6 linked regions of the Oryctolagus cuniculus genome follow. Each later gene encodes a partner of the first gene's protein in a complex. Links are inferred from orthologs where the notes say so. Each region holds a gene or a part of one and is shown in the gene's direction. Other genes may lie near its edges.

Region 1 (4,924 bases):
CAAGGTTACACGCAGGGCTTTGTATAGCTTTCTCTGGTATTCTGCGTGCCACTACATGAACTGGCTGGGCGGGATCATCTTCTCCCTCCTAGGCATCCTTGCTTGGCTTTCCATTTCGCTGCACCCAATTGGGAAAAGAGAGAGAGACAGAGACGTGAATGTTACTCAGCCTAATGTGTAGGCTTCCCTTCTCTCTCTGCTGAGCTCACATTGGCACCCAGAGTGCATGCTGAGAGAGTGCTCAGCCAGAGCTGTGTCCTTGTCCTGGGCAAGGGGCTGCAACTGCAGGGTGAGAGAGCAGGGTCTCCCCAGCAGAAGCTGGGATTAGAGAAACATCTGCCATTCAGCGTACATTTTGCCTGACAGTACTACCCAGTGATTCTTTTTTTTGGGGGGTAGTGGTGGGGGGTGGGGATACTCTCATCTGCTGGTTCACTTCCAAAATGCCCGTAATGGCAGAGAGTGGGCTGAAGCCAGGCACCAGGAATGGATCCCAAATCTCCCATATCAGTGGTAGGAAACCAATTTCTTTATTGGTCTGCACTAGCAGGAAGCTGGAGATGAGTTTGGAACCCAGGCACTCTGCTATGGGATGCAGGATGTCTCAGCTGCCAGGCTTGGTGGCTCGGGCCCTGACAACCCACATCTCCAGGAGGGGCGCTCCCCTGCCTGTGGACAGGTAGCCCACGGCCTGGCCAAGGCAGCAGGAGACAGCCCTACTACTACAGGCATTGTGGCCAACGGGCTGAATCATCAGGCCTGCCGGTGACTAACTCAACCCCTGACACTCGGCCACGCGCACTGACGTGGACGCTGAAACCTGTCCTTAGAGTGCTGACCTTTCCCCCGAACTGCCTAGCGCACAGGAATCCGAGTGACAGGAGCCCAAACCAAGGAGTCTCACGTCGCATTGCCAAAACACAGACACACCGGCCGTGGCCTTTGCCACCTGAAACCGAATACTAAGAACGAAGAGGCCGGCTTCTGGGGGCCAAGCCCGGCTGTCACTCGCAGCCCTTTCAGGTGCCTTGGCCTGAATCTGCTGCTGCTGGGAGGATTAAAAATTAAAAAAAAAAAAAAAAAAAAAAAAAAAAAAAGCCCCCTGGCTGGTCACATCCTCTGCACGGCGGCAGGAAACCTAAAGGGTGCCTGCTCCGTCCTCGGCCTGCCTGCTTATCTGCTTCCTCGCGGGGAAGAGTCTGCATCAGTGTCCGGTGCAGGGGGATTTTCACCATGACCTCACCCTGCTCGCCATGCGCGGACTCGGGGCCGAGCGCGGCCGCCGTCGCCGCCCCGGGGAGACGCCGGCCACCCCGCCGCTGCGGCCACACGGGCCTCGCCTCAGTGCTGTCAGCTCTGACCCAGGGCCCCGGTGAGGAGCAGGGGCGCGGTAGCCGACGGCGTCGGGTCATCGCCCCGGGCAGGGGAAGCGCCTCCTCGCGTCGGGGGCGTGACGCTAAGAAACGCCCCCCAAAACTTTCCACGCCCGTGCCGGCTGCGGGAACGAGTTTCAAGCTAATGGCCTCGCGCTAGAGCGCGCGGAGGGTGACAGCAGCTGGGCAGCGCCCGGGACCTGAGTCTTCCGCCTCCGCGATTCCGGGAAACTGCCCCGGAGTCGCACGGCCCCGGAAAGTCCAGCTCCGCGGGCGCGCGCCAGGCCGGCCCACGTGACCACGGCTCCGCGAGCCGCGCGCGCGCGCACGCGAGCGAGCGAGCGGGACGGCGAGCGCGTGACTCGGCGGCCCTGGGCGGGAGGCGGCGTGCGTGCGTGCGCGTGCCCTGCGAGGCCGCGGGCGCGCGCACGCCCCCGGGGCCGCCGCCCCTCCCGGGCCCGCCCTCCTTCCCTCCCTCCCCGGTTCGCCTAGCCCGCCCTGCCCGGCCCGCCCTGCGAGTCAGTTCTCTGGTTCCCTCCCTCCCCGGGCGCGCTCGGGCCGCCGCAGCGCTCCCCGCCCTCGAGCCGCGGTGCCGGAGCCGCCCGCCGCCCGCGGAGGAGGTGGAGGGAGCCGGAGGGGCCCGCCGAGGCGGCGGCGGCGGCGGCAAGATGGCGGACTTCCTGCCGTCGCGGTCCGTGCTGTCCGTGTGCTTTCCCGGCTGCGTGCTGACGAGCGGGGAGGCCGAGCAGCAGCGCAAGTCCAAGGAGATCGACAAATGCCTGTCCCGGGAGAAGACCTACGTGAAGCGGCTCGTGAAGATCCTGCTGCTGGGCGCGGGCGAGAGCGGCAAGTCCACTTTCCTGAAGCAGATGCGGATCATCCACGGGCAGGACTTCGACCAGCGCGCGCGCGAGGAGTTCCGCGCCACCATCTACAGCAACGTGATCAAAGGTGCCGGGCCGGGGACCGGGGGACGCGGGGGACGCGGGGACGCGGGGCGGCGGGCGGGCGTGCGCGGGGCCGGACCCCGCCCTCGTCCGCTCGGGACCCGGCCGAGGACCGGGGCGCGCCCCGGGCTCGGGTTCTGCCCGCCGGCTGTGCCCTCGGCCGCTTAGGGGCGGGGGCGCCCCGCTTTCCCCCTGGCCGCCCGAGGAGAGGGTCGCGGCCGGCCCCCCGCCCCCAGCCCGGCCGCTGGCTTCGCCGCGTCCGAGAGGGAAGTGAGGCGAGCCGGGTGCCACGGGGTGCGGGGTGGCCTCTGCCCTCGTCCTCCCTGCAGACGGGGCCGCACACCCCGCCCCAGCCGCCTCTCGCCGGCCCCGGGGGTCGGGTGACCCGAGCCGCCGAAGGTCGGGGGCGCTCCCGGCTTGCTGGGCTGCCCCCGGAGCGAGTTCTGGACCCGGCGCAGTCGGGAAACTCTTGCCTCGGACTCTCGTCCTAGGGCATAGAGGGACAGCCCCTGGGGCTTTGGGGGGGCCGGGATGTGAAGCTGGAGGGTGTCACCTGTTGGTCCTGGCTGCAGGAAAGAGTAGACCCATACCTTTGGTCTAACATGATGCGCGTCCGTGGGTTCTCGCCCCAGCGCTCCGGTGCGCCGCGGTGGGCGCCTGTAATCGCTTGTTGCTGAATAGCTGGGGAGGGAGTGGGGTCCCCATCCTGCCTTTTCTGTCGAAGTTGTGTTGTGCTAAGAAGGCTCTCTGGCCTGAAAGTAACGCGGGTGCTGGCCAGGGGAAGTCAGTGACTTACTGTTGGGTGGGATGATAGGCTCCACTCCTTTTTGACGGGCGTTTTGAAATTGAACTTTGTTCCTAAGTGAAACAGACACGAGATCTTTATTTGGGAGGCGTTCAAGGAGATCGGGAATTTAGCTGCTGTTTTGTCGTTGGAAACGTCACGAGCTCGCCTTTTTCTTAGTGTCAGGCATTTTCCACGCTTGGAGGGACTGCGCCTGTCACTTGGCTCAGGTGCATCTGTCGCCTGCTGTGTGGAGAGCAGGTTATCCAGGAGTTTGCAGGGCTTTTGTCCAGGAAGTACAGAAGCAACTCCCTCAGCTCACTTTTTTCCCCTCCCAGAGTTCGTGTAGAGGCAGACGGCACAGAGAGGGAGGCATTGTGGGGTAGTGGCTGGAGAACGCGGGCCGGAGCTCACGCACACAGCCAGCTCTCAGCCCTGGTGCCTCTGCAGTTAGACTGTAAAGAACAGTCGTGTTGAGCCTGCCTCAGTGTTTGGCACAAAACTAAAATCTCTTTCAAGGCCGCAGACTGCCTGGCAGGTCCTTAATTGAAGGTGGCTTTGTATTGTGATGCAGCCGAATGTAGAGGAATTAGGATAATGATTAGAGTCAGCATGATAACTGATTCTGGCTCTTCAGACGTCTGGGTCCTACAGGTGACCTACTTTGAGCATTGATGATGAGGTGATGTTAAGTCATCTCCTCTAGTCAGCTAGGCATTTCGTTTTATTTTTGAGCTAGCATGCTCAGGAAATTGACAGCCAAACAGCTCCTGGATTATCCAAACAAATGACTTGCTAATAGCCATGTGACTGGCAGGGTGGCCCAGAGGTAACAGTTTCCTGAGGGATGTGAGTTTGACCTAGCCTCTGAGTTGAAGTCTGTTTCTAGGTCATTCTGCAATTGGCCCTCCACCCTTTTAGGGGAGCTGTAAGACCCCTGAGCCTCATACTCGTTTGAGTGTGGTCTGGGAGAAGTTTTTGAGTTTTGAATGTATTCCTAGAAGACTCAGGGAAAGAACTGAACGCAGAGCTGTAGTGTTGGTTCTTAGTATTAAGTAAAGTAAGTGTCTTAGACAGCCTCATGAACCAGTGCTTGCAGCCGTCATCTTCACAGCTTGGACACTGGGCAGTGCAGCGTCAGTTCTTTTTCTCCTCTACTTTAGTTTTCCTTTGACCACTGTCTACCCCAGAAGTTACTTTATAAATTGCAACATGTGAGAGGCCCGCAGAAAGAGCAATTGTGTTCTTAGTATTTACTTTTCAAGGCTCTAATTTTGCAACCTTGAGCAACTGCTTTCCATAGCTGGGGAGATACTGGGGTTTGTTTTGGTGTTGGTCTCTATTTTTGGAGGAGGAGGGCTGCAGTAGTTAAGTTTAAGGAAATAATATTGGAATGAAAACTTAGGATAGTATCTCACGATTCTTCCCCATTCCCGTTTTTCTTTTTGAACATAGGTATGAGAGTGCTGGTGGATGCTCGAGAGAAGCTTCACATTCCTTGGGGAGATAATGCAAACCAACTGCATGGAGACAAGATGATGGCTTTTGACACCCGGGCCCGTGCGGTGTCCCAGGGAGCGGTGGAGACGCGGGTTTTTTTGCAATACCTTCCAGCTATAAGAGCGTTATGGGCAGATAGTGGCATACAGAATGCTTATGACCGGCGTCGAGAATTTCAACTGGTAAGAGCTTTTTTTTTAAATTGTGGTTTTATTTTAAAGATATCTAATAATGCCTACTGTTAGCACACTTTTTTCACTGACTTCCACAGTATAATTTGCCCCTAAAATGTGGAAATGTAGCATCAGGTCTTTGGATTG
Region 2 (5,019 bases), on another chromosome or scaffold:
CTCACTGAGCACACGAACCTGCAGCCCAGGGAGCGTGTAGACACCTGGGGCAGGGGCTGCCGAATTCTTCTGCATCAGTTTCTAGTCTGAGTGCAGCCTCTCATTATGTGATAGCAATTTATTGATTAGAAAAATGTGTGTGTGTGTTGGGAGGTTGGTTTGGCCTGTGGGTCAGGCACTGGGGTGCCTGACTGCTCCGCCCCAGGAAGCAGCGGCGATGATAGCAGCCCTGGGTCCCTGCCACCCATGCGGGAGACCTTCCCAGCTTCGGCCTGGCCCTGCCCCAGCCGTGGGCATCTGGGGAGTGAACGGGCCAACGGGAGCTCGCTTTCCCCTTCTGTCTCTCAAAGCAAGCAAGGAATGAAAGACGGCCATGTCTGCTTTGCTCAGTCTTGGAAGTGAGAGAGGCATGGACTTAGCACCTGTTTAATTCATCTCAAGTTAGCGCTGTGGTGCCTGCCTCCTCCCAGGGCAGTCGGAGGGAGGTGGCAGGTGGGCGGTGGACGGGAGGCAAAGATAAAGGCATGAACTGTCCTCCCAGTGCTCACACCCAGGCAACGGGATAAAGGTCGTGGAGTCCATGGGTTTGCAAGTGCCGGGGGTGGGGGGAGAGTTCACAGAAACCTCGGGAACCTGCTGCAGCCCAGGCTATCGGAGAATCTGCAGGGCCCACGGAGGCAGGCGCAAGTTAAAAATAATCACCTTGTGTTCTGACATCAGCGTCTCTCTCCCCCGGGGCGATGCAAGCCATTTTCTTGTCCTCTTTAGGAAGCGTGTGGGTTCGGGACGCTTGGTTCCCATTTAAAGTCAGGACAGTGGAGATAACAGTATCAGCCGGCGTTTACTTTCTGCTTTATAATGATCCTCGCCCAGTGAGGTTTTCTCTTCGTAAGAAATGGCACCATTTATTGAGTGCTACATATTTTCCCAGCTCCACTTCTTTCTCACCCACACTGTCAGAGGCCCGGCTGGAAACAGAGAGGCGCGGTGCTCTGCCCCGCAGCCCAGTGCAGGGGGGAGGGTGTCGGTGTCGGTGCTGAGAGCCGGGTGCGGCGGAGCATGGGAAGCACCCGCAGCTGGGGAGGGGCAGGCTGCATGTGGAGTCATTCGGATAAACTGTGCGTCGTGGGCAAACGGAGGCCCAGCTGGCTGAGGTCGGATGCTATCACGTTGGGTGCTGTGGTGGGGGTACGTGATCACGCGGGACATCCCGTAAAAGCGGCCCATCACACACCCGACTTCTGAAAGGGTTAAGGCTGAGGCTCGGTGTGGCAGCCGTGGCGCTGTGTTTATTCCCACTTTGGCCCATAGATCTCCTGGTGTCTCACTCTGGGCGCCCGGGGCGTGGGTGGAAACAGAGTTCACAGTTTGATTTACACTTTGTGTTTCATATCTATGCTGACTTTGAGGGTGCCGACTGGAAGGCGTCTTTCTCCCCCCCCCCCTCTCTCCCACACACACACACACACATACACACACGTCGGTTTGGTCTGCTTCTGACCCTGCAGATCTTCCCGGTTGTTCCTAACAGGCTGGTGTTAGGACCCAGGAAGACGCAGCAGCGACAGGCCGGGTGTGAACGGAGAGCCCGAAGTTTGAGGAGAGCCTCTGACATCACTCACTGCTCTCCACCCGCAGGGGACGCGGTGCGTGCTCAGCCGGAGCCAGGGCCAGCCCAGGGCGGGCAGGAGCTCCGGGGCGCACGGCTGCGCGCGGCGTCTTCTCTCCCGCACTGCAAGCACAAGAGGAAAGTCCGGTCGCAGACCTGGACAGGGGCCAAGGAAGCTCTTGAAATACGCGGCAGAGGCTGACGGCCGGGGCTGCCTGCTGGCTCGGGACAGCCTGCCCGGGGCTGCGAGCCGACTGGGGTTTCTCCTCCCTGCATCGCGTTCCGCGGGGGCCCTGCCAGCTGCCATGTGTTTATCGATCACTGAGGAATTCCAAGTTTGCAGACCAGGAAGGAACACCCATTAGCACTCTCGGCAGCTGCAACGCACACACTGAGGAAGACTCCGACCCTGCTGCTTCTGAACCCGTGAGAAGGCGCCTTTCCCAGGGAAGTGAAAGCTGAAGGGGCCGCTCCCGGATCTCAGGGACACCCCCAGGCGCCCGGAACTCAGGGACGCCCCCAGGCCCCCGGAGCCGCCCGGAACTCAGGGACGCCCCCAGGCCCCCGGAGCCGAGGGAACCATGAGGAGGCTGCTGTCTCTGGGCTGCTGGCTGCTGCCGCTCTGCTGCAACCTCCAGGTAGGTCCTGGGGCTCTCCTGGGATCGGCCGGGACGCTGCCGGCTGCCGCGTGTCCCGGGTGTGTCTCATGCTGTGGTCTTCTGCGTGCAGGTGCATGGCGCCGACTCCAGGATCCAGGACCATCCAGGTGAGAGTTTCCTCCGTGCTCTCTTGCTTGCTGTGGGCACCCTGTTTCTCTCGAGGGGCTCCGCGCAGGCCCTTGGTGGGCTGCCCGTCTCGCTGGCCCTCCACAGCCGTGGGTGGGGAGCAGGTCTCCTGTCCAGCCGACTCTTGCTTGGGTCGTGAGAACAAAGTCTTTCGATGAAGCAAATGCGCTCCTTTGGGGTTGAACATTTTCTGTCTCCTTCGACTCGCGTCTCGCATCTTCAGTGACAGACAAATGCTGCAGCCCCCCTTCCCCCCCCCTCCCCCACCAGGTGCTGGTTCACTCCGTCCCTGATGTCTCCTCGGTGGGGGGGATTTCTCCTCCGTGCCTGCACCTGGCACGGAGGGAGCACCCTCACTCCAGACAGAGCCTCTTATCTTTTGTTTTGTTTTAAAGATCTTATTTATGTAAAAGGCAGTTAGAGATAGAGACAGAGAGCGACCTCCCATCTGCTGGTTCACTCCTCAAATGGCCACAACGGCTGGAGCTAGGCCAGGCCAAAACCAGCAGTCTGGAGCTCCATCTGGGTCCCCACGTGGGTGCAGGGGCCCAAGTACTAGGGTTGTCTTCCGCTGCTTTCCCAGGCCATTAGCAGGAAGCTGGACAAGAAGTGGAGCAGCTGGGACTTGAACTGGTGCCCCTGTGGGATGCCGGAGTTGCAGGCGGCAGCTTTACGTGTTGCACAATGGCACAGGCTCGGAGCCTCTTGGCCACTGTGGCTGCTCAGCGTTGTAGTGTCGGGGCCAGGTGTGTCCTTGGTGGGTGTGTGGGGTGCATATCTGGTGGGAAGGGGGGAGGTGCCAGTGAGTGGCAGGAACCCGCTGCCGGCTAATGCCACGCATGTCTGCTGCTGGAGGATGTGTGGTGGTGAGACCTCTGCCGGGCTCTAAGCCTCGGCTGGCCCGCTGGTGACCTGCTGTCTCTCCTCCGAGCAGCCCTGCCCCCCTTTCCAAGGACTCACCTTCAGACACGCCAGGCCCGGCCAGCCCTGGGGGCCCCAGTGCAGGTGCGACCTGAGCTCCCAGGAAGCCCTGCTCTGAGCAAGCGCCCGTGACACACGGGTGTCAGCGGGGGGGAGGGGAGGGGGCTCTCGGCTTTGCTCTCCCTGCTGAGTGTCGCGGCGCAGGACGGAGCAGTCACTGTCACGGCCTCCGTGTGCCAGCCACGGCGCTGGGACGCGGCCTCTGCTCCCCATGTGAACTTCCGCTGTGCTCCTGATGTCCCTTGTCTGAAGGTGTGGATGCTGTGGTGGCCCTGCGTCCTCCTTTCTTCAGCCAGAAAATCCAAAGAAAGCAAGCAGGGTGTCCGTGGCCTGGGGCTGAGAAAGGCAGAGGCTGCCCGTGCCTCGCAACTCCTGTTCTCCCGCCCAGCCTCGCCTGCAGCTCACGCTGGTTCCGCTGGAGGAGTGACGGGAGACGGGGAGCAGGGGCTCTCCTCGGGCAGCGGTTGCAGAGCAGGGAGCTCAGGCAGAGCTGGCATGTCCCGGAGCCACAGAACCAGCCGCTCACAAGGGCAGCCACGCGTGGCAAAGGAGCGCTGGGGCTCTTCTCAGACTTTGCCTTGTGAGACAGCATTTACATGTGTTCTCATGCATCCACACAGTTCAGAGCCCACAGGTGTCCAGCCACATCCACCCATATGCGTCCACATATGTCCTCAGAGTCCACAACCCCCACATGCACTCACACATCCAACATGTGCCCACAGACATCCACATGTGTCCACACACGTCCAACATGTGCCCACACATGTCCACATGTGTTCACACAGTCCACATGTGCCCACACAGTCCACACACGTCCACATGTGTCCACACACGTCCACACACATCCACATGTGTCCACACAGTCCACATACATCCACATGTGTCCAGAGTCCATCCACATCCCCCATACGTGTCCACATATGTCATCAGAGTCCACACCCCCCACATGCACGCACACGTCCAACATGTGCCCACACATGTCTACATTTGTTCACACAGTCCACATGTGCCCACACAGTCCACACACATACACATGTGTCCATGGAGTCCATCCACATCCACCCATACATGTCCACATATGTCCTCAGAGTCCACACCCCCCACATGCACACACATGTCCAACATGTGCCCACACACGTCCACATGTGTTCACACAGTCCACATGTGCCCAGTCCACACACATACACATGTGTCCATGGAGTCCATCCACATCCACTCATATGCATCCACATATGTCCTCAGAGTCCACACACCCCACATGCACTCACACGTCCAACATGTGCCCACACATGTCTACATGTACCCACACACATCTACATGCACTCACATCCACACAGTCCACACATATCCACCTGTGCACAGACATGTCCACACAGCCCACAGGTGTCCACACACATGTCTATGCAGCCACACATGCCCATGGACATTTGTGCGGTCCACGCACACGCACACGCACTTGCATTCTTGACCCTAAACTTCCAGGAGCTGTGAGCTCAGTCTTGGCCCCACACAGATTTGCTCTCTACGACCTGAAGGAGGCAGAGAAAATGCTTCCTGAGGAGCCCGCCGCCCCAGAAGTCACAGCGGCGCGGAGCGGCAGGAGTGCCCAGGCGCGGGCGCTGAGTCGGCGGGGTGGGGGGT
Region 3 (5,089 bases), on another chromosome or scaffold:
GGCCGGACAGCAGGGGGCAGCAGGAACTTCGCCTCCTACCCCACCAACCCCAGCCTGCCCTTCTCTGTCCCCGAGGGAGCCGGCCCCCGCTGCGTCCGCATCACACTGCAGCAGCACTGCCCGCACGGCGCCGCCGACCTGCACCCCATCGGCTTCCACGTCTTTCAGGCAGGCTGCGCGCCCGGGCAGGGCCGGGGGTGGGGGGCCGCAGGCGCCTGGGTCAGGATGGCCGGCTGCTCGCAGGGAAGGCGTACCCCCAGCCCTTGCAAAGTCCATGTCCACCACGTCAGCCCAGCAGCCACGCCCCCTCGGCAGGTCCCCAGGCCCGGGGCGGAGGCCCAGCTGGCTCGTGCCCTGGGGAGTGGGTGCTGGCTGGGTTCCGGGAGAGTAGGACAGGGCAGGCCCAGGCTTGGCCGATCTGGCCACACGGTGGACAGCCCGCCCGCTGCCGGGTGCCACCATGGCCTTGTGTTCAGATCGGACACAAAGCCAGGCAGGTAGAGACACCTGACGCTGTGGGCGACAGGGCCAGGGCCAGGCAGGAGGAGAGGACCTCAGCCGGGTCCTCAATGGCAAAGGTCCAGCCCCTGAAGGTGAGCCCGTGCTGCCCAGGCGGCTGCCGAGGGCTCCGGAGCCCCGCCTGCTCCGCTCAGTGGAGCTCGGGAGAAAGCTCCGTGCCCAGGAGCCCGGGGAGGCGCTTTCTGGCCGACGCTTGGGCAGGGGTTGGGTTTTCAAACGAAGCCCCTGGTGACGCAGCTCCTTGAGCTTGGACACTGCTAGTGGGGGCCTCTGGGGAGGGCTGAGTCGGGGCCCGAGAGTCCCTCAGCAAACGGGGTGGGTGAGGAGGGAGCAGGCTGCCCCGGCCTCTCGGAGCCTCTGGGCAGGGAGGGAGGAGGGCAGCCCTCCGTGGCGGCCACAGCCCGCTGAGCGCGTGCCGGCCTCCCCAGGTGGCAGACAGCGGGGGCCGGGGCTCCCCCCCTCTGCTGCTCCAGGAGCCGCTGCTGAGCTGTGTGCCGCACCGCTGCGCCCAGGAAGTGAGCCGGCTCTGCCTTCTGTCTGCCGGCGCCTACCGGGTGGTGCCCTCCACCTACCTGCCCGACGCAGAGGGGGCCTTCACGGTGACCATAGCAACCAGGATAGACAGGTGGGGCCCTCAGCGTTCGCCCCGTCCCTGCCTGTCCTGCCGAGAGCAGAGGTGGAGGGACCCTGTGCCTGCGGGCTTCTGGGAGGGGTGACTGGCGCTGTCTCCGCAGGCGGTCCATCCACAGTCAGGAGACGCTGGGGCAGCACCTCCAGGAGGTGCGTATGTGGCTCCCAGCCCCGCCCGCCCCCGGCCCCCGGCCCCGGCCCTGTCCCCGCGCTGGCGTGCGAGGGGCGGGCAGCAAGCAGCTGTCCCCTCACAGGTGTCCTTTATGGCTGTGATGAAGGCCTAGCTGGACGCCGGCCGTGATGAAGGCCCCACTGGACGCCGGCTACAGAGTTGGGCCCGAGGCAGCTGCCGCCCAGCAGCGGGGGACCTGCACCTGTGCCACCGCCGCGGGGCTGTGGCGGCCGTGGCTGAGCCGCGGTGCCTCTGGCCCACACGGACCCAGGTGAAGCACGCGGCCCTGGGTGGAGCAGGGGCTGCAGGCAGTCCATCCCCGGAGCCTGCCCAGGGCTGCCCGGGAGCCGCGGCAGTTAGCAGGGCCGGGGCCAGGTGCTAACCCTGTTTGTCATTTGGACATTTTTAAGACGTAACTTTATAAATAAACATGAACGAGTACTTGCTGTTGGAGATGCTCAGTGCCCAGAGCTCAGTCCACCGCCCACCCAGCCCCTGTGGGGCGCGACTGACGGCGACCCTGGCCAGTGAGTGGGGAGAGAAGAGCTTGGAGGGGCGGGCACAGGGCAGACCCCGGGGCAGAGTGGGAAGGGCAGCTCGGCAGGACCCGTGAGGCAGGTGGCACCTGCTATCCTGGCTCCGCTGGCCCCAGGCCTCAGACCCTGTGGTCACTCCAGGCCTCTGTTCCCATGAGAGGCTGAGCCCTCCGCACCCCGGCAGCTCCACGCCAGCCTCCAGGCGCCCCTCCCCCCACCCCGCCTCCCCAGGCGCCCATCCCCCACCCTGCCCCAGCGCCCCAGCTCTGCCATCTGCAGGACTGGCCGAGGCTTTGTCAGTTGCAAAACCCTGCTGCAGGCGGCTGTGGCCACACCCTGGGGAGAGGAGCTGCTGCCCGGGCTGGGCCCCTCCCTCCATGGTGCCTTAGCAGGCAGGGGCTCCGCGTGGGCTCTGAGACAGCTGGGGCACGGCGTTCGCGGGCCCGCGCTTGTGCGGGGGGAGGGCAGAGGAAGCCGTCCGTGCCTGGGACATGGCACCCCGTGCTCCTCACGGGGCAGACAGAACGCCGGGAGCTGGCTCTGCCTGCGCTGCCAGGATGGCACCTCCTTGGGGATCCGGGCAGCGCATGCCAAGTCCACAGCAAGGGCTGGGCTGGTCACCACACTGTGCCGTGGCAGCCCCAAGGTGTCCCTGTCCGCGCTAGGCCCTGGGCCAGGCTGCCAGTCAGCAGGCGTATACCGCATGTTCCAGACCCTGCCCCCCGCCGAGGCCCTGCTCCTGTGGTGGGAGGCACAGATGCAGCTCCTTGCCCCTGACTTGGGAGGGAGACCCCAGAGGCTCCGACGTGGCATGCCGGATCCAGGTGTGACCTGTGTGGCCACCACGTCCTCCAGCTCCATCAGCCCTGGGCGCCCTCCTGGGCTGGCTGTGTCCTGGGTGATGGCAGAGGCTGGGGTGCCACAGGGGGCCTCCGACCTTCCTGGCAGGTGCCCCCACAACTGCCACACGCCAGCAACCTGAGGCCTAGAGACGGCTCCACCTGGGAGTCCTCCAGGCCCCGCCCTGCGGGCGCCACGTGGGGTGAGGCCCTGCCCGCGGCGTCGGAGACCCCTGTTTTGCTTTGCTGTCTAGGGGGGGTTGTGCTCCAGGATCTGCCCACTTCGGCCTGGCTGCTGTCAGCCCCCAGCGCCCCCGTGGGCCCTCAGCCTCACCACTGTTACCACCATCGCCTCCTGGCTTTTGGTGAACCAAGCCAGCCACCCCACCCCCGGCCTCTGCTCCTCAGGGGTCAGCTGGCCACGTCCTGGCAGATCGGGTCTCACCATCAGCGGCTGCCGGTTACCTGGTGGGCACAGCCCTGCTGGCCTGGCCGTGTGGGACCAGGGCCTCCTCTGGAAGCGTCTTCCCCACGCTGCCCGGGCCCCGCGGGCTCCGAATCCTGCATTTCCTGGCACTGCCTCGGTTTCAGCCCCTGGTCGTGGTGCGTGCCCCCCCCCCCCCTGCCCCCGTGCCCTCCTCCCTGGAGACACTGACACTTCTGGGGCAGGGCCAGGGCCGTGGCTCCCTGTGGAAGAGCAGAGTCGGCCCAGCCACAGCCTCCCCTGTCCAGAGTCCCAGCTGAGGCCCTGGCCTGGACGTGAGCGTGCGGCTGGGGCCTTGGAGACGGCCTGGCCTCCTCTGCCCTCCAGCAGAGACCTCGTGGGTGGATGACCACCTGCTGGGTCATCCCAGCCGGTGTCCACTTACCACATGGCCCAACGTCCTCCTGACCCAGGCAGAGGCTGGGGGAGGGGCAGAGCAGGCCGGCCAGGGTGCTCTTTCCCAGCGTGGTTTCCTTGGCAAAGGGTTCCTCCCAGCAGTGGGTGTCTGGACTGTGGCCCTGGGACTGTCCACAGGGAGAGCCTGGGCCGCGTGTGGGAGACGGGTAGGAGCCAGGTGCTGCTGGCTTTGTCGTGTGAGCCTCCCCAGTGGGGCCCTGGCGCACTCGTGGTGCAGCTCTGCTCCAGGGTGGAGGCCGCCTCGACCCCGCGTCCCCACGCAGCTCAGAGCCCAGCACCCCGCCCATCACCACCCGTGAGACGGTGCACCTGTCCTGAGCCACTGCTGGCCCACCGAGCCCCTCCCTCCCCTGGGGGCGGCTCCCTGAGGACACGCCCTCTCTGCCCCGCCGCTGCTCCCTGGCCCTCTGCCATCTGTCAATCAGTCTTCCATTTTCCGCTTGTTTCTGCGAGGCTGATGGTTTACAAACGGAGACAGCCCCCAGTTTCCTCACCCATTGGGATCCTCAGCTCTTCCGCGGGGGCGCGGGCCGTCCTCTCGCTGTGTCCTCTTGCAGGGCTGAGCAGTCCTCCGGGGTCGCTTTAAGCGGGCACAATCCCATGAGTGAGGGCTGCGCCTCCCAAAGCCGCCTCCTCACACCGCCGCCTTGGCTTTAACTGGGTCTCGGGCACACAGCGCCCCCAAGCCTGCGCCCGCCCTTCCAGACATGAATAGAAGCTGCTGACCATGGCCCCAACCCCCAGCCCTGGGCAGGGCACCCAGAACTCCAGAACACGCGCAGGCCGTGATGTCCGGGCTGGGTCCCTGACCACACCATGGCCCGCCATGGCAGCCGTGGGGTGGGGCCACCTCCTCGCTTGACACCTGGGGGAGGGGTGGGGGAGAGCTGCGCATGGCCCTGGAGGACCTGGCCGTGCAGGTGGGGCCGTGCCTTCCCTGGCCTCCTGCAGACTTTGCCCCGCGCCAACCCCAGGGCTACTTCCTGGCCTTGCCTCTCCCCCGCCTGGCTCAGCCTCAGGGTCAGCAGCGCTTCCGGTGAGTACGCAGGGCTTGGCAGCAGGTGTGAGGGGCAGCTGGGAGCTCAGACCGAGGCAGCAGCCGCCCGCCGGCCAAGCTGGGACCCCCACCCCAGCCACTCCTCCCCCACCCCAGCACCGCCCCAGCCTGGGCTGGGACTGGCAGGCGCTGACAGGACTGGCAGACTGAGGCTCTGTCTGTTCCACCCAGGCCGGGGCCCCGTGACGCTGGGACCCTGTCTCACTGCCGACTACAACCACGTATGTGTGGGGCCGAGACTCAAGGCCGCCCTGTCCCCAGGGCCGCCCACACCCAGGTAATCAGTCTCCCAGTGAGGCCGTGGGCGGCGCGGGGGGTGGAAGGCAGGGGCCTTTGTGCCATTTGACGGTCCTGGGTCTTGTCTCCTGGGCAAGAAGGCTCTCTGACCACCGTGTGTTTGCAGTGTCTCCCTGCCTGGGGACCGGGGCTGGGGCT
Region 4 (3,852 bases), on another chromosome or scaffold:
CGCTGGGCCTCTGGCCCAGCAGCCAGTGTGCTTTCCGGGCCTGCCCCAGGACCTCGATCCTCAATTAGGAATGCCAGGAGGGGACCCAGCAGTCCAGGGCAGCCTATGGGCAACTGATGGAGGTGACCCAGCTGTCAGGCTGCGGTTCAAACCCCACTCCCCTCCCGGCCAGGGACACCCAAATAGCTCTAACTTGGCCCCTAAGAGAAGACCAAGCTCCTATCGCCCCTAACTGACCCGATCCCTAAGGCACTCCCCATTGGGCCAATCAGAGGCCGCGGAGGGAAAGCTCAGGCCAATAGGCACGTCGCTCAGTGTGCTGGGATTGAAAAGGAGCCAATCAAGGTGCAGGCTGTTTCCGGTCCGACGGCGGCGGCCCACGCGCGGAGCAGCCTGGGCCAAGGCAGCCCCGGGGCCGGCTGCGGCGGGCAGAGGGCACCAGGGCAGCTCGGGGCCCTGTCCAGCCAGGAAACAAGGGGGCCTCTGTTGGCGATCAGGGCGGGGCAGCTGTCCCCGAGGACGTGCACAAGCCCTTCTCTGTTCCCAAACTAGGACGGATGTCCCTCCGCCTTAGGGGGGCAGATGCCTCCCTGGGGCCGGGGACCAGGACGCCCCTCGGAGCGGGTGGCCGGGGACAGGGACGGCGGGGCAACCCCGGAAGCCCCCCATCACTCCCGGGCTCTCTGGGAACGGCCGAACCAGCCTTTTTCTGGAACAGAGCTTCTAGCCCGCACGTGGTCCTCCCAGGCCGGGTTCCAGGGACGGGAATGGCTCTTCCCTGCCGCCGGCCCCCCTCCTTCCTCAGCTAAGGCTTGGAGCTTCCTCCTTGTGGGGGGGGCTCCTCGACACCCCTGCGCCCTCCCCTGCCCCAAGCTAGTCACGGGGTCTGCATCTTCCCGCTCCCTCCCCCCACCTTTCAGCTTTCCTTGAAGGTGTTGGGGGGGGCAGTGACTCAGTGTTTCATGGAAACAAATGCCTGGCCCCCTCCCCGCGGGGCTGCACGCCCCCTCACGGCTCACATGACTACAGCAGCAGCTGCCGCATCGCGCCTGGTCCAGGACCTCCCAGACTGGTCTCTGGTGGCGCCCCCCTGCCCCATCCAACTCCACCCCCCCAAGCCTTTCCCACACCGGATGTGACTTGGGAGCTGAGAACTCCACCCTGTTTGTTCCAGGGGCCTCACATCTGGATTTCATCCTGTGGGGAGGGGGTGCCAACGCCCTGCCCGCCCTTCCTGGGGCCCTCCTGTCCCTGGGCAGAGCCGGATGGTGCTGGTGAGAACTGGCTGCTGGGGCTGTGGTTGGCCTCCTCAGCACCCCATCCCTAGAGACTGGGTGAGGGGCACCCAGTCCTACATGGGAAGAGGAAAGCCAATGACGTCAGCTAATACTTGCTGAGCGCTTAGGAGGCGTCCACAGTGTCTCCTTAGTCATTTTCCTCTAAGTCTTGAGAAATGGGTTTTTTTTCTCCCATTGCTGCATGGATGAGGCTGTCCGGGGCAGAGGCTGGAGTGAATTGCATGGCCTCCGAGGTCCGTGGCCTCCAAGATGATGTGACCTCGGTGATGCTGGAGTCTTGGGGCCGCCCTGTGTCTCCCCAAGACCTTATCTGGGAAGCGCACACAGCCTCAAGGCTTCGACTCAGCCTGCAGTCCCCAGGCAGTGGCGGGTGCTATCGGCAGCCCGGATCTGGCTGACCTGGGTCAGCAGAGGCAGCACGCGGCCCAAGGCTGCCGTGTGTGCTGGGGAAGAGAAACAATCGTTGGGAGGCCCTGGAAGGCCACTTTGTACCCTCTGTGCCACTTGGGGGAGCTCGCCCTGACTCAGGCCGCTCCTTATGCAGGAGTCCCGCCCCCACCAGCCTGTCCCATGCCTGGGGGCGGGGGTAGCTTGAGACCCTGGGGAGGGGTGGTGACCAGCCCGAGACTCCGCGTGCGCGCAGCGTGGTGGAGCCAGACCTTGAACTTGAGCCCTCCGCGCGGCGGCCGCCAGGGCTCTGACTTGTCGGTCTCTCTCTTTCTCCGTCCTCTGCAGCTGTGACAGCCTCATGGGCTCGGCCGGCCGCTGAGCCCCACCATGGGCAACTTGTACTCTGAGTACCTGAATCCCAGCAAGGTCCTGGAGCACTATAACTACACCAAGGAGACGCTGGACACCCAGGAGACGCCCTCACGCCAGGTGGCCTCGGCGGTCATCGTCGTCCTGTGCTGCGCCATCGTCCTGGAGAACCTACTGGTCCTCATCGCCGTGGCTCGGAACAGCAAGTTCCACTCGGCCATGTACCTGTTCCTGGGCAACCTGGCTGCCTCCGACCTCCTGGCCGGCGTGGCCTTCGTGGCCAACACCCTGCTGTCCGGCTCCGTCACGCTGGGGCTGACCCCCGTGCAGTGGTTCGCCCGCGAGGGCTCCGCCTTCATCACCCTCTCCGCCTCCGTCTTCAGCCTCCTGGCCATCGCCATCGAGCGGCAGGTGGCCATCGCCAAGGTCAAGCTCTACGGCAGCGACAAGAGCTGCCGCATGCTGCTGCTCATCGGCGCCTCGTGGTTCATCTCGCTGGTCCTCGGCGGCCTGCCCATCCTCGGCTGGAACTGCCTGGGCCAGCTGGAGGCGTGCTCCACCGTCCTGCCGCTCTACGCCAAAGCCTACGTCCTCTGTGTCGTGACCATCTTCTCCGTCATCCTGCTGGCCATCGTGGCGCTGTACGTGCGCATCTACTGCGTGGTCCGCTCCAGCCACGCCGACGTGGCCGGCCCGCAGACGCTGGCCTTGCTCAAGACCGTCACCATCGTCTTGGGCGTCTTCATCGTGTGCTGGCTACCGGCCTTTAGCATCCTCCTCCTGGACTACGCCTGTCCCGTCCGGGCCTGTCCGGTCCTCTACAAGGCCCAGTACTTCTTTGCCTTTGCCACCCTCAACTCGCTGCTCAACCCCGTCATCTACACGTGGCGCAGCCGGGACCTGCGGCGGGAGGTGCTGCGGCCGCTGCAATGCTGGCGGCGGGCGGCCGGGGTGCCGGGCCGGCGGCGGAGCGGGACCCCGGGCCACCACCTCCTGCCACTCCGCAGCTCCAGCTCCCTGGAGAGGGGCGTGCACATGCCCACGTCGCCCACGTATTTGGAGGGCAACACGGTGGTCTGAGGGGGCCGCCTTGGGTGACCTCAGACAGAAACTGGGCGAGGGGGGCTGCCAGATAAGCCACGCCCCTTGCGCCCCTCCCTCCCACATTGCAGACTCCCGCACAACATTTGGCAGGTGGCGGCTCTGCAGGTGGTGTCCTGGAGTGCGACCCCAGGGTGGGGGAAGGACCCGTACAGGGCCAGGGTGACAGCAGGCGGGCGCACGGTTCACCACTCGGTACGGAGGATTTCAACATTTCCCAACCGTTGGAGCGGCCCCCGTGTGCAGCAGCTCCCCTGTCTGGATCTCCCCCTCCCGCCACTCCTTTGCAGCCGCTGTCCCCAGGACTCGCGGGAGCTCCCTGGATGTCGCTAGCTGCCACTTCTTCCCTTTCCCCTCCGATGCCACTGGGTATGTGGCGTTGGCGGGGAGGGGACCGGGGGCTATGCCTCATTCCCTGTTCTCAGACCTCATTGGTTCGTTTGCACTATCTGGGGTGCAGAAGAATTACCAAGGGCTGGAAAAACCAGTTTGAAGAGGCTTTGGAGGGCTTCGGGCCTCTGGGCGGGGTAGGGTGGAACTTGAGAAGAATCGGGGAGGGGAGGGAGATGTTTGTACAGGACCCTCACCCCCAAACAGCCACCCCCACCCCCGCAGGTGCCCACCTCCACACCTTCCACCCAACCCAGGTACCAGATCCCCCAAAGGCAGGGCAGCCTTGAGCCCGCTGTGCCTC
Region 5 (5,086 bases), on another chromosome or scaffold:
GGAGCAGGTGGTCTCAGCGCCCCCTGCCCGGGTCACCCGCTGCTCCTGAGGTCCCTCGCACCCCACCGTTAGGTTTCAGGAATTCCTGGCTGGGGGGGGGGGGTGGACTTCCTCCCCCACTTCCTTCCAAAATTTGGCCGGTCACCGTTAACTCCTTCCTGCCTTGTCCTCACCCCCCCACACACACTTCACTTGCACACACGCACACACGCACACACGTGTGTACCGGCTGAGCAGTTTCTGTGAAGCGTGGGGTGTGTGTGCATGCGTGTGTGTGTGTGTGTGTGTGTGTGAGAGAGAGAGAGAGAGAGAGAGAGATGGATGGTGGGATGCAAGTTGGATTCTCCCCGTGCCCCCTGAGCCCGTGGAGGGAGCCTCCCACCCAGCCCTGTCTCCGTGGAGGAGGTTTAGGGTGAGGAGGGGCTGGGGGGCCGTGGAGAGCCCCCTGAACCCTTGCACCTGAGCACCTTAGGATGGCAGGATCCGGAGGCTGGTGCGCTCACCGGGCAGGACTGGAAACCCCAGATCCTGTAGGCAGCTGGGTGCTCCTTCCGTCCAGAAGCGCCAGCCTGGAAGTCTTGGCTGTTCTCAGCTTGGAGCTCCAGCTGGGCTGGGGAGCTGCGTAAGCCACACACACCCCCCAGCGGGTGACAGGTGGGGAAACCGAGGCACACTGCCAGTCAGAGAGCCAGGCTCCCCCCCCACACCGCCCTGCCCTGGGGAAGGGGAGCTTCAGGACCCCAAATCCAGAGTGCTGGCCTCCTTTGCTGCCGCTGCCTAGACTTGCTTTGGGGGATCCGGCTTGGCTGCCAGGGAGCGAGGGGTGGGTGCCTGGCGAGAATCCAGAAGGGAGGGTGCAGAGCAAATATTTCTGGAACCTTGCTGCCGAGGTGGGGGCGGGGTGTGTGTGGGTGGGTGGTGGGTGGGTGGGGACTGTTGGTGGGGGTGGAATGGGCGGAGCTTCAGAGGAGGGGGGAGAGAGAAGAGTGCGGGGGAGCGGGGTTTGACACCCGCACCCCCCCACCCTCCCCAGGAAGCCCACTGTTCCCTTGGGACACGGCCTGTAATTTGGTTTGTGTCTAGACAAATAATAACGCGGCCGGTGTGAGCCAGGAGAGCTGGGGCCCCGGCGGAGCTAGGGCTGGGGAAGCAGCCGGGGTGTCTGATGTCCCCTCCCTCCCCAGGTGGTGGGAATCCGGGGTGCAGGTGGCGGGGGCGCCCAGCCGCCCCCTGTCCCCGCCGCCAGGTCTCAGGACTCTGCTCCACCTTGGAAACCGGGCTGCAGGAATTGGAGATGAGAGCAGGTCTCGGGAACAGAGAGCGAGCGAGGGGGGCGCGCCCCGATTCTGTAGAAAAAGGGAAATGCGTGTTTGCGGGGCAGAGATAAAAATCAGTGAGGTTTAATAATAGATCCAGAAAGTCATGGAGTGTTCAAACAAAAAAAAAATCATAGAGCATTCTAACAATAGAACCGGAGAGTCCTGGAATGTGAGACTTTGGAGTATTGAAAACACAGAAGGTTATGCACTTCCAAAGCCCGGGTGGCCACAATAGCAGCACGGAGGGGAGGGAAGGTCTAGAATGCTACAGAACGTTCTATCCTGCAGAACTGGACCGACTATAGAACCTGGAAACGCCTGGAATGTAGAACATCAGGCGGGCACAGGCTGAGGACCCCAGTGTCCCTCTGGGGCAGCGTGGGCAAGGGGGTGGTGGAGACCCATCCCCTCCCCGGGGGTAGAAGTGGGGAAACTGAGGCCCGCAGGGCGGCCAGGGTGGCCTCGCTGCCCCTGGTTTCCGCCGGCTGCCAGGGCAGCAGGTGGGGAGCGCTGGCGGGGCGGTGATCACATTTCATCCCTAATGAACAGACCGGCGCTGGCTGGTCCCCTGGGGCCGCTGGGGAGGGGGCAGCCAGAGCCCACAGAGAGGGGGGAAGGGAGACCACCTGGTGGCTTCAGGCACAGGCCAGCCGGCCGGTGAGTGAGCTGGGGGTGTGGGGTCTGCATCGCTTCCCCCTCTTGTCCTCTCAACCTCCTCCCCCCGCCGTGAGTCCCTCAGCCTTGCTGATCTGGGGGTACCTGCCGGTGCCTAGGGACTTATCTGAGCTGGAGCAGCGGGGGGCCTGCAGAGAGGCGAGGGCTGAACAGTATCTGCCCTTCCTCACCATCGCTTCACACCAGGGCTTATCTCTCTTCCCTGCCCTCTGCAAGGGGCCAGCACCGACCTCAGGGAGGGGGTGGGGGCGGGACCTGCAAGAGGCAGCAGGAACCGACCGCTGACCGCAGGACCTGGGAGACAGGGAGAGCTTCCTGTTGGCTGCCAGATTTGGGGGTTCGCCCCAACAAAGCCCCAGTAAGGAAGTCAGCTTAGAGCCTAACGGCAGAAGGTCCTGCCCCAGGGGCTGGCGGGGGAGGCCAGGGGACGGAGGGACACTGGGTCACTTGCTCTGCTTGTGGTGGCAAGGCCTGCGTTGGCCAGCACGTTCTCACGGGGCCCCCAGAAAGCCGTGGGGGGAAAGAATGGGAGTGCGGGAGGTGGGGAGAAAAGCCGCTGAGGGAGGGGGAGTCTGGGGCTCAGAGGCCACGGCCCCGTCACATGGTATGACTTAGGCAGCTGCTTTGCCGATCGGTTACCCCCGCTGTACCGGGGGAAGGGTCAGACATCGCCTGGCATAATGGCTTTGTAAAGGGCTGACATTCCTTGTCGGCTGCTGGGGGCTCAGTGCCGGGCAGATCTCAGGTTGAGAAGAAGAGGGAGTTGGCAGGGTGCCCTTCCCCCACGCCCAGCATCCCTAAGCAGCAGGTGCACTGGGGGGGGGCGGGGGGAAGGGGCGGGGCTGCGCTGGCTCCCCTGGAGGAAGTTAGCTGTGGGAAGTGTTACTTCCTCTGCCTGGTGTGTACCTGCTCCAGCCGCGCCACAACCCAGGGGACACACGGAGAGGGGTGGGGCGGACGTGATGGCCGGGCCCAGTGCTGGTCTCGGCTCTCCAGGGCCTGCTCATGGGACCACTGTCCAGACACTGCACGTGCGACCAGGGCCTCCGCGGTCTGCGCCCGGTAAAGGTTGTGTGCCCTCCCACGGGAGGGGCAGCTGAGGCCCCGCATCCCAGGAACGAGGAGGGAGAGACCAAGAGGCTATAGAGTGCTGGGGCCCGGAACCAAGTGGAGGAGGATGGGGAGGGGTTCAGCGGGGAGGGGCCGGAGGTGTTTGGAGGTCTGGGCTTGAAGGCAGGGGTCACACACCACCTCACTCTTCCATCGCCAGGACCCGGAGGCCACTGTGGGGTGGGGGTGGGGTGGGGGCGGGGAGCCAGCTGCAGCTGTGTCTGAGGACCCTGCAGCGGGTAGGCGGGGCTTACTGAGGGGGCCTGCCCTGCCCTTTCAAAGTCAGTTATGAAGCGGGGCACATCCTGCAGCCTGCCTCGGCTGCTTCTTTCCTCCGGGGGAGGGGGTCGGGCTGCCCAGTGCTGCCCCTATCCCGGGCCTCTGGCCTCTGCCCTCAATGGCTTCTGTGCATGGTCATTTATTGAACGCCTACTGTATGCTGAGGATTCTGCTGAAGGACCTGAGTGGCCGTTGGGAAAAGCAGAGACGGTACTGCTGCACAGGGCCAGGGCGGAGGGTGGCAGGGGCTCCTGGGACAGGTGCGGGACCCAGGGCTCAGTGTGGAGGTGGAGCGGGGAGGAGACTGGTGTCTGGGGGCTCCCCAGGGACCCCTGTTGTGACCGGAGGCTCATCCCTGTGCCTCTCTGTCCAGCAGACTGAGCCACTGGTTTCTAGCGTTGTGTCCTGCAGGTTCTTTTAATTTTCATTTTATTTGAAAGGCAGAGGGGTTGGCGCTGTGGCGTAGCAGGTAAAGCTGCTGCCTGCAGTGCCGGCATCCATATGGGCGCTGGTTCAAGTCCTGGCTGCTCCACTTCCGATCCATCTCTCTGCTATGGCCTGGGAAAGCAGTGGAGGATGGCCCAAGTGCTTGGGCCCCTGCATTCGTGTGGGAGACCCGGAAGAAGCTCCTGGCTCCTGGCTTCGGATCGGCCCAGCTCCGGCCGTTGAGGCCAATTGGGGAGTGAACCAGCAGATGGGCGACCTCTCTCTCTCTCTCTCTAACTCTGACTTTCAAGTAAATAAATAAATCTTAAAAAAAAAATTAAAAAAAGGCAGAGAGACAGACACAGAGAGAGATCTTCATCCACTGGTTTGCACCCCAAATGCCCACAACAGCCAGGGCTGGGCCAGGTCGAAGCCAGGAGCCGGGCACTCCATCCGGGTCTCCCACGTGAGTGCAGGGGCCCAAGTGCGTGAGCCCTCACCTGCTGCCTCCCAGCAGGGACCCAGAGCTGGGACTCCCTCCAGTCTCGGCCACTGTCTCTGCTCAGCGCCCGCCCTCCCCACCCCCTCTCCCTCAGAGCGCAGGGCGCCTTCCCCTTATTGCCCTCAGCCTGGGTTTCCAGTTAAGATCTTGTTTTAAAAAACAGAGAAAAAGATTTCCCATCCACTGAAAACCAAGCGGGCATGGCTGTGCGGGAGCCTGTGCCGCGGGGTTCGCTGCCCCTCCCTCTGGGGCTGACCGCAGTCGGGGTCTCGGCCCCTGCCTGTCCTCAGAGCTCTGCTTGTAGTTCTCCCCCGACCACGGGTGCCAGGCCCAGGGTTCTGTCCGCGAGGCTGGAGGGGGAGAGGAGGCCCCTCCCTGCTCCTCTGTCCCTCCTCGGCTGCCAGCCCACGGCTCCTCTGGACACAAGCAGGGCGCAGGCTGGAGCGGTCCCCTCCGCCCATCAGCACCCTGGACAGGTCCTGGCCTCAGTTTGTCAAATGGGGCCTCTCCTCTCCTCTTTATGGGATTCTGCAAGGTGCTCATGGGATGATGCCCACCCAGGTGCTGGGAACGGGGTCTGCCAGGGCTGGCGCACGGGGGCCGGAGCATCGCCCTCATCTCCCTGTTGGGAGTGGGGTGCCCTCACACGGCACCCCACAGGCATGTTGGCTATCATGCACCAGCTGAGAACAAAGCAAGGCTGTTTGACGTTGAAGATACAAATGGGTCCCGGCACCAGCCCTGCTGTGTCCCACAGTTGGTGGTGGGGGGGGGG
Region 6 (4,311 bases), on another chromosome or scaffold:
CTGTGTCTCTTCCTCTCTCTCTGTAACTTTGCCTTTGGAATAAAATCGATAAATCTTAGGAAAAAAAAAAAAAAAAAGCCGAGCAGCAGAGCTTCCCCACAGGGCTTGGCCAGACTGCGGCTGGGAGCTCCATCTGGGTTTCCCGCGTGGGGGGCAGGGCCCTACGTTCTTGGCGATTGTCTGCCTCCCAGGCGTGCTAGCAGGGAGCTGGTCAGGAGCAGGATATGAGACTTGACCTGGCAGCTGGCTGTGGGACGTGGGCCCACACAGCGTCTGACCCCCGCACCACGACGGGCACCCACTGAGGCAGCCATTTGTGTTGACTCTGAAGGTGCTGTCTTAAACTCTAGTGTGGTTTGGACTTTTTTTTTTTTTTTTTTTTTGACAGGCAGAGTTAGACAGTGAGAGAGAGAGAGAGAGACAGAGAGAAAGGTCTTCCTTCCGTTGGTTCACCCCCTAAATGGCTGCTGTGGCCGGCGCTGCGCCGATCCGAAGCCGGGACCCAGGTGCTTCCTCCTGGTTTCCCATGCGGGTGCAGGGCCCAAACACTTGGGCAACCTCCACTGCCTTCCCGGGCCACAGCAGAGAGCTGGACTGGAAGAGGAGCAACTGGGACAGAATCTGGCGCCCCGACCGGGACTAGAACCCGGGGTGCCGGCGCCGCAGGTGGAGGATTAGCCAAGTGAGCCACAGCGCCGGCCAATAGTTTCTTTATATTATTAATTCACAGATATCCCCACTGGCTTCATAAAATAAAAATTTACAGTAGGGAAGTTTGCCCCTAAAATCGGATCTCCTGGGAACACCCAGCTGCAGTGTCAGCTCACAGCAGCATGGAGACCTGTGTCTTACTGGACATCGCCCTGAGTGCCTCTGAGGGGCTGCCCACACTCCTGTTGTGAGCCTTTAAAGCTGTGTTCTCATTTTACTGCATCTAGTGTACAGAGGTCTTCAGGAAATTCATAGAATATATGTACTATAAAATCACGCCTGGGTTTCAAAATATTGTGCCCAAATTAGCTTATCTTTCAGTTCCATTTTTCTGTTGATTTTTGAAGTTCTCTTTTACATATTGCTTTTTTATTTTTATTTTTTAAGATTTATTTATTTATGTGAAAGGCAGGGTTACAAGAGGCAGAGAGAGAGAGAGAGAGGTCTTCTATCCGCTGATTCACTCCCCAAATGGCTCCAACGGCCGAAGCTGGGCTGATGCAAAGCCAGGAGCCAGGAGCTTCTTCCAGGTCTCCCACATGGGTGCAGGGGCCCAGCAGAGAGCTGGATCGGGAGTGGAACAGCCGAACAGCCAGAACTCAAACCCACGTCTACGTGGGATCTGACACTGCAGGTGGTGGCTTTACCTGCTACACCATAGCGCCAGCTCCCTATATCTCCCTATTTATAAAAATATATGTTCATTTAAGATTCCACACTTGTCTAGTTCCTTGTTCACTTGATGTTAGTGATGGCGTGTCCTTCCGCAGAGTGTACCTGCATTTCGTCGTTTCGTAGATAAGAAAGCAGATAGAGCCAGGAAGAAGTCAGAAGGTTTCATCTGAATCTGCAGTCTGATCAGACGCCTTGCTCTTTTCTGTGAAATTTAAATCCAACAAAGTAATTATTGTCCCGAAGAGATTTTTGGGCTGGTCATTAGGTCCTTGCTGGACCGCTCTCCCTGGGCGCCAGCCTCCCGTCCTCCCTGGGTCAGCTGTGCAGGCGCTGAGCCAGCGTGGTTGCTCAGAAGCGCCGAAGGCCAGGGCAGCCCCGCGCCCAGGGGCCCTGCCCTGGTGCCGTCCCCGTGCCGGGTTCCACGGTCGCTGTGTGTGAGTGGCCGAGTGCGGTGGATGGTGGGTGTTGGGGGGGGGGTGCTTTCCTTCCACAGTGACGCTGTGAGGCCCCAGGTGGCCCCTGCCTGGACACCGCTCACCTCTCTTGTGTTGCTTCCTAGGATGCTAGGAAAGCATGTGCAGATGCAACGCTCTCTCAGGTAAGAGCCGGTGTGAGCCTGGGCCCTCCGCAGTGAGCTCTGCCCGTGCAGCTGCCAGACCACTGCGGGGCACTGTCTTGCGGAGCCGTCCAGACGTGGGAGGAGACAGGGGTTCTGTGTTCGCGTCGTCTCTTCAGCCCGCGTAGTGCTCCCTGCCAGGGCAGAAGACTGCTGTCTCAGTCAGGCGGCGTGTCGCTGCCTTCGTGGCCAGTCGGTCCAAGAACTGGACTCCGCAGGCCGGCCTGACAGCTCCCCAGACACTTGAACGGCAGCTCCATGGCTCCTTGTGTGCCCAAAAGGATCAAAAGCCGGCGTTCAAGCGGGTGTTCAGTAGGATACGCACACCGAAACCCGTGGGTGTCTGAAGCCTCGTGTACACAGACCCTACAGAGGGCATCGCTGCGGACTAATAATGGAATATCATAAAAACAACACTGCAGGAAATCTGTGCATATGATCTGTCTCAAAAAATTAATCTTCCTGTACTCACACTTGTGACAACAACGCCTGTGCGAGGAGATGCAGTGAGGCAGACGACACGGGGCTGGGACGCAGCTTGGGTGACCACAGTGGGCACAGCGCGGTCCCACGGGCCGAGGGCTGACCACACCCCAGACAGGACCAGCAGGCCGGAGTGGATGTCATCCTCCTGCTCAGACGGCTCACAACTTAAACTTAGGAATTGTCCGTATCTGAAATGTCCTATGTAATAGTTTCAGACTGCGATTGACCACAGGAAACTGAGCCATGCATAGCGAAACCAGTTAAAGGAGGATGGCTGTACAGTGTTCATATCGCCGCTCACACAGCCAAGGGAGGAGACCATCCAGCTCTCCATAAGTGGATGAGCGTACAAACGTGTGGTGGTGTGTTTGCACGGTGGGATATTACTCAGCCGTGAAAGGGAATGCAGCCACGTGTAGCTCTGTGTGTATGAAATACCCAGAATGGTTAAGTTAAAGACAGGAGATTGGTGGCTGCAGGGATCGTGGGGGCGAGAGGAGGAGGTGGCCGCTGGGTGGGTGGGGAGGCGAGCAGTGGTGAGGGCTGCACAGCATGCCCTGAGTGGGCACTGTAACAGAGTTTTAAAAAGTTAAAGAATCGGACAGAATAGTGAAAGAAAAGTTAGATTCACCCTCTGCAGGTGACTTGGTTCATGAGGCGATCCAGACACTGAAGGGGATGCGCTGTAAGAAGGAATTCTTGCAGCGTAGAATCACAGCTGTCAGTTCTCGGGCGCACTGTGGACTGTCCATTTTTTAAGACTCATTGTTGGGTGTGCTTTGCCCATTTGCCAACCTGGAGGCATTGCTGTCGGTGTCTGCCCTGTGGGGTGGGTGCTGGCGTGCAGACACCGATGCTGAGTGTTGTCCAGGCCCACACGTGGCCTGAGGTAGGAGCAGAGCACTAGCTGCTGGAGGCTGTGCCCGTGGTGGCCCCGGGCCCTGAGACAGATGGGCGGAGCTGGAGGCTGTGCCCGTGGTGGCCCCGGGCCCTGAGACAGAGGCGGAGCCGGGCTGCCGTGTGTGTGCACGCCAGGGGGACAGGTGTGTCCTCACGCCCCGTGGAAACGGCAGCCCTGTTCAGAGTCCCGAGGGCCCTGGTGCCCCTGAAGAGCTGGAGGATGGCTGGGCCCTGCTGGGTGGGTGAGGAGGAGGGCTCTGGGAAGATCGTGTGGTCACAGATGTTAACCTCAGGAACCTTCGTGTTTAAGATCACAAACAACATCGACCCGGTGGGGAGGATCCAGATGCGCACCAGGAGAACGCTGAGGGGGCACCTGGCGAAGATTTACGCCATGCACTGGGGCACGGACTCCAGGTAGGCACAGGCCACGGCGGCAGCCCGTGCCGGCTACGTCACCGAGGCTCTCTTGTCTGGGAAGGTCGCCCGGACTCATTTGCTGTACTTTGTAGCGAGCAACACGAGGAGGAGGAGTCAGATGAGCAGGCCAGGCGTGGCCTGTGCGCGGGTCTGCGCTCACCTGGCCCACTCCACTCTGCTGTTTCCTCTCCGCTCCAGGCTGGCTTGTGTGGCTCAGGTTCTCCTCCCTGGAAAACCCCACCTTCCCTCCGCCCCGCTGTGCTCTGCCGTGGCCTTGGGAAGTGGCCTTCCTCTGTCCCTGTGTTCTGCACTGCGCGGCCTGTTCTGGTGGCTGCTGGCCCTCCTGTGATTTCAGCGCCTGCTCCGGGCTGCGGGAGGCCCAGAGAGAGAGCCTGAGAGCAGCAGCCTGTGGGGTGGTGCTGTGCCTGGGTTTCTGTGGTTGGGGCCCCCAGCAGGTGCATGGGTGTGTGTGTTTGCTGCGGCCATCACCCCTCACCCGGTCT

The links.
Region 2: the proteins of GNA13 (region 1) and ADGRD1 are in contact, whole or in part, in a cryo-EM structure (PDB 9V0U), measured with the Homo sapiens proteins. The link is inferred for Oryctolagus cuniculus from reciprocal best matches to the Homo sapiens genes GNA13 and ADGRD1. Residues at the interface, in NP_006563.2 of Homo sapiens: Val49, Val216, Phe218, Phe359, Val362, Lys363, Asp364, Ile366, Leu367, His368, Asn370, Leu371, Gln373, Leu374, Met375; in NP_942122.2 of Homo sapiens: Asn599, Arg601, Leu657, Met660, Val661, Ile662, Val664, Phe665, Ser667, Val737, Ile738, Ile741, Ala761, Val764, Asn810.
Region 3: the proteins of GNA13 (region 1) and GPR35 are in contact, whole or in part, in a cryo-EM structure (PDB 8H8J), measured with the Homo sapiens proteins. The link is inferred for Oryctolagus cuniculus from reciprocal best matches to the Homo sapiens genes GNA13 and GPR35. Residues at the interface, in NP_006563.2 of Homo sapiens: Lys46, Arg47, Leu48, Val49, Lys214, Asn215, Val216, Phe218, Arg331, Gln337, Gln338, Lys340, Pro341, Leu342, Tyr343, Phe359, Arg360, Asp361, Lys363, Asp364, Ile366, Leu367, His368, Asn370, Leu371, Lys372, Gln373, Leu374, Met375, Leu376; in NP_005292.2 of Homo sapiens: Phe45, Gln51, Thr53, Thr55, Met59, Asp113, Arg114, Ala117, Val118, Pro121, Leu122, Arg123, Arg125, Arg128, Ala197, Leu198, Arg201, Pro202, Thr204, Asp205, Gly207, Gln208, Ala211, Ala215, Met218, Val219, Ala280, Lys281, Glu282.
Region 4: the proteins of GNA13 (region 1) and S1PR2 are in contact, whole or in part, in a cryo-EM structure (PDB 7T6B), measured with the Homo sapiens proteins. The link is inferred for Oryctolagus cuniculus from reciprocal best matches to the Homo sapiens genes GNA13 and S1PR2. Residues at the interface, in NP_006563.2 of Homo sapiens: Arg47, Val216, Phe359, Lys363, Asp364, Ile366, Leu367, His368, Asp369, Asn370, Leu371, Gln373, Leu374, Met375, Leu376, Gln377; in NP_004221.3 of Homo sapiens: Ser66, Met68, Tyr69, Leu72, Arg130, Ala133, Ile134, Lys136, Val137, Lys138, Leu139, Tyr140, Tyr209, Ile212, Val216, Ser219, Gln227, Thr228, Leu231, Leu232, Val235, Tyr288.
Region 5: the proteins of GNA13 (region 1) and GPR4 are in contact, whole or in part, in a cryo-EM structure (PDB 9JHP), measured with the Homo sapiens proteins. The link is inferred for Oryctolagus cuniculus from reciprocal best matches to the Homo sapiens genes GNA13 and GPR4. Residues at the interface, in NP_006563.2 of Homo sapiens: Arg47, Pro341, Tyr343, Phe359, Lys363, Asp364, Ile366, Leu367, His368, Asn370, Leu371, Lys372, Gln373, Leu374, Met375, Leu376, Gln377; in NP_005273.1 of Homo sapiens: Gln45, Asn50, Arg115, Ala118, Val119, Ala120, Pro122, Leu123, Ala126, Ile204, Val208, Ser211, Val212, Ser213, Thr214, Glu218, Lys221, Ile222, Leu225, Asn290, Glu291, Gly292, Ala293.
Region 6: the proteins of GNA13 (region 1) and GNB1 are in contact, whole or in part, in a cryo-EM structure (PDB 8H8J), measured with the Homo sapiens proteins. The link is inferred for Oryctolagus cuniculus from reciprocal best matches to the Homo sapiens genes GNA13 and GNB1. Residues at the interface, in NP_006563.2 of Homo sapiens: Ser31, Ile34, Asp35, Leu38, Glu41, Lys42, Val45, Lys50, Gly205, Ile206, Glu208, Lys219, Val221, Lys231, Arg232, Trp233, Phe234, Glu235, Cys236, Phe237, Asp238, Ser239, Val240, Arg279; in NP_001269468.1 of Homo sapiens: Gly53, Leu55, Lys57, Tyr59, Gln75, Asp76, Lys78, Ile80, Thr87, Asn88, Lys89, Val90, His91, Ala92, Ser98, Trp99, Met101, Leu117, Asp118, Asn119, Tyr145, Asp186, Met188, Asp228, Arg314, Trp332.

What each region holds. Positions count from the first base shown.
Region 1 is NC_091448.1:11,458,544-11,463,467, reverse strand, and holds the start of GNA13 (guanine nucleotide-binding protein subunit alpha-13), read left to right. Parts: upstream 1-1,812; 5' UTR 1,813-2,041; coding exon 2,042-2,324; intron 2,325-2,910; exon of another isoform or gene 2,911-3,792; intron 3,793-4,559; coding exon 4,560-4,786; intron 4,787-4,924. UniProt on the Homo sapiens protein: Guanine nucleotide-binding proteins (G proteins) are involved as modulators or transducers in various transmembrane signaling systems.
Region 2 is NC_091452.1:1,765,899-1,770,917, reverse strand, and holds the start of ADGRD1 (adhesion G-protein coupled receptor D1), read left to right. Parts: upstream 1-1,716; 5' UTR 1,717-2,190; coding exon 2,191-2,247; intron 2,248-2,338; coding exon 2,339-2,375; intron 2,376-5,019. UniProt on the Homo sapiens protein: Adhesion G-protein coupled receptor (aGPCR) for androgen hormone 5alpha-dihydrotestosterone (5alpha-DHT), also named 17beta-hydroxy-5alpha-androstan-3-one, the most potent hormone among androgens. Also activated by methenolone drug.
Region 3 is NC_091434.1:847,897-852,985, reverse strand, and holds the start of GPR35 (G-protein coupled receptor 35), read left to right. Parts: upstream 1-2,120; 5' UTR 2,121-4,413; coding exon 4,414-4,633; intron 4,634-5,089. Other genes in the region: CAPN10 (calpain-10), read left to right, coding at 1-168, 948-1,144, 1,254-1,299, 1,404-1,433. UniProt on the Homo sapiens protein: G-protein coupled receptor that binds to several ligands including the tryptophan metabolite kynurenic acid (KYNA), lysophosphatidic acid (LPA) or 5-hydroxyindoleacetic acid (5-HIAA) with high affinity, leading to rapid and transient activation of numerous intracellular signaling pathways.
Region 4 is NC_091447.1:67,121,521-67,125,372, forward strand, and holds S1PR2 (sphingosine 1-phosphate receptor 2), read left to right. Parts: upstream 1-2,075; coding exon 2,076-3,137; downstream 3,138-3,852. UniProt on the Homo sapiens protein: Receptor for the lysosphingolipid sphingosine 1-phosphate (S1P). S1P is a bioactive lysophospholipid that elicits diverse physiological effects on most types of cells and tissues.
Region 5 is NC_091449.1:11,334,769-11,339,854, forward strand, and holds the start of GPR4 (G-protein coupled receptor 4), read left to right. Parts: upstream 1-1,854; 5' UTR 1,855-1,860; coding exon 1,861-1,976; exon of another isoform or gene 1,977-3,284; intron 3,285-5,086. UniProt on the Homo sapiens protein: Proton-sensing G-protein coupled receptor activated by extracellular pH, which is required to monitor pH changes and generate adaptive reactions. Activated by an optimal pH of 6.8-7.2.
Region 6 is NC_091438.1:163,949,617-163,953,927, forward strand, and holds part of GNB1 (guanine nucleotide-binding protein G(I)/G(S)/G(T) subunit beta-1), read left to right. Parts: intron 1-1,945; coding exon 1,946-1,984; intron 1,985-3,698; coding exon 3,699-3,805; intron 3,806-4,311. UniProt on the Homo sapiens protein: Guanine nucleotide-binding proteins (G proteins) are involved as a modulator or transducer in various transmembrane signaling systems.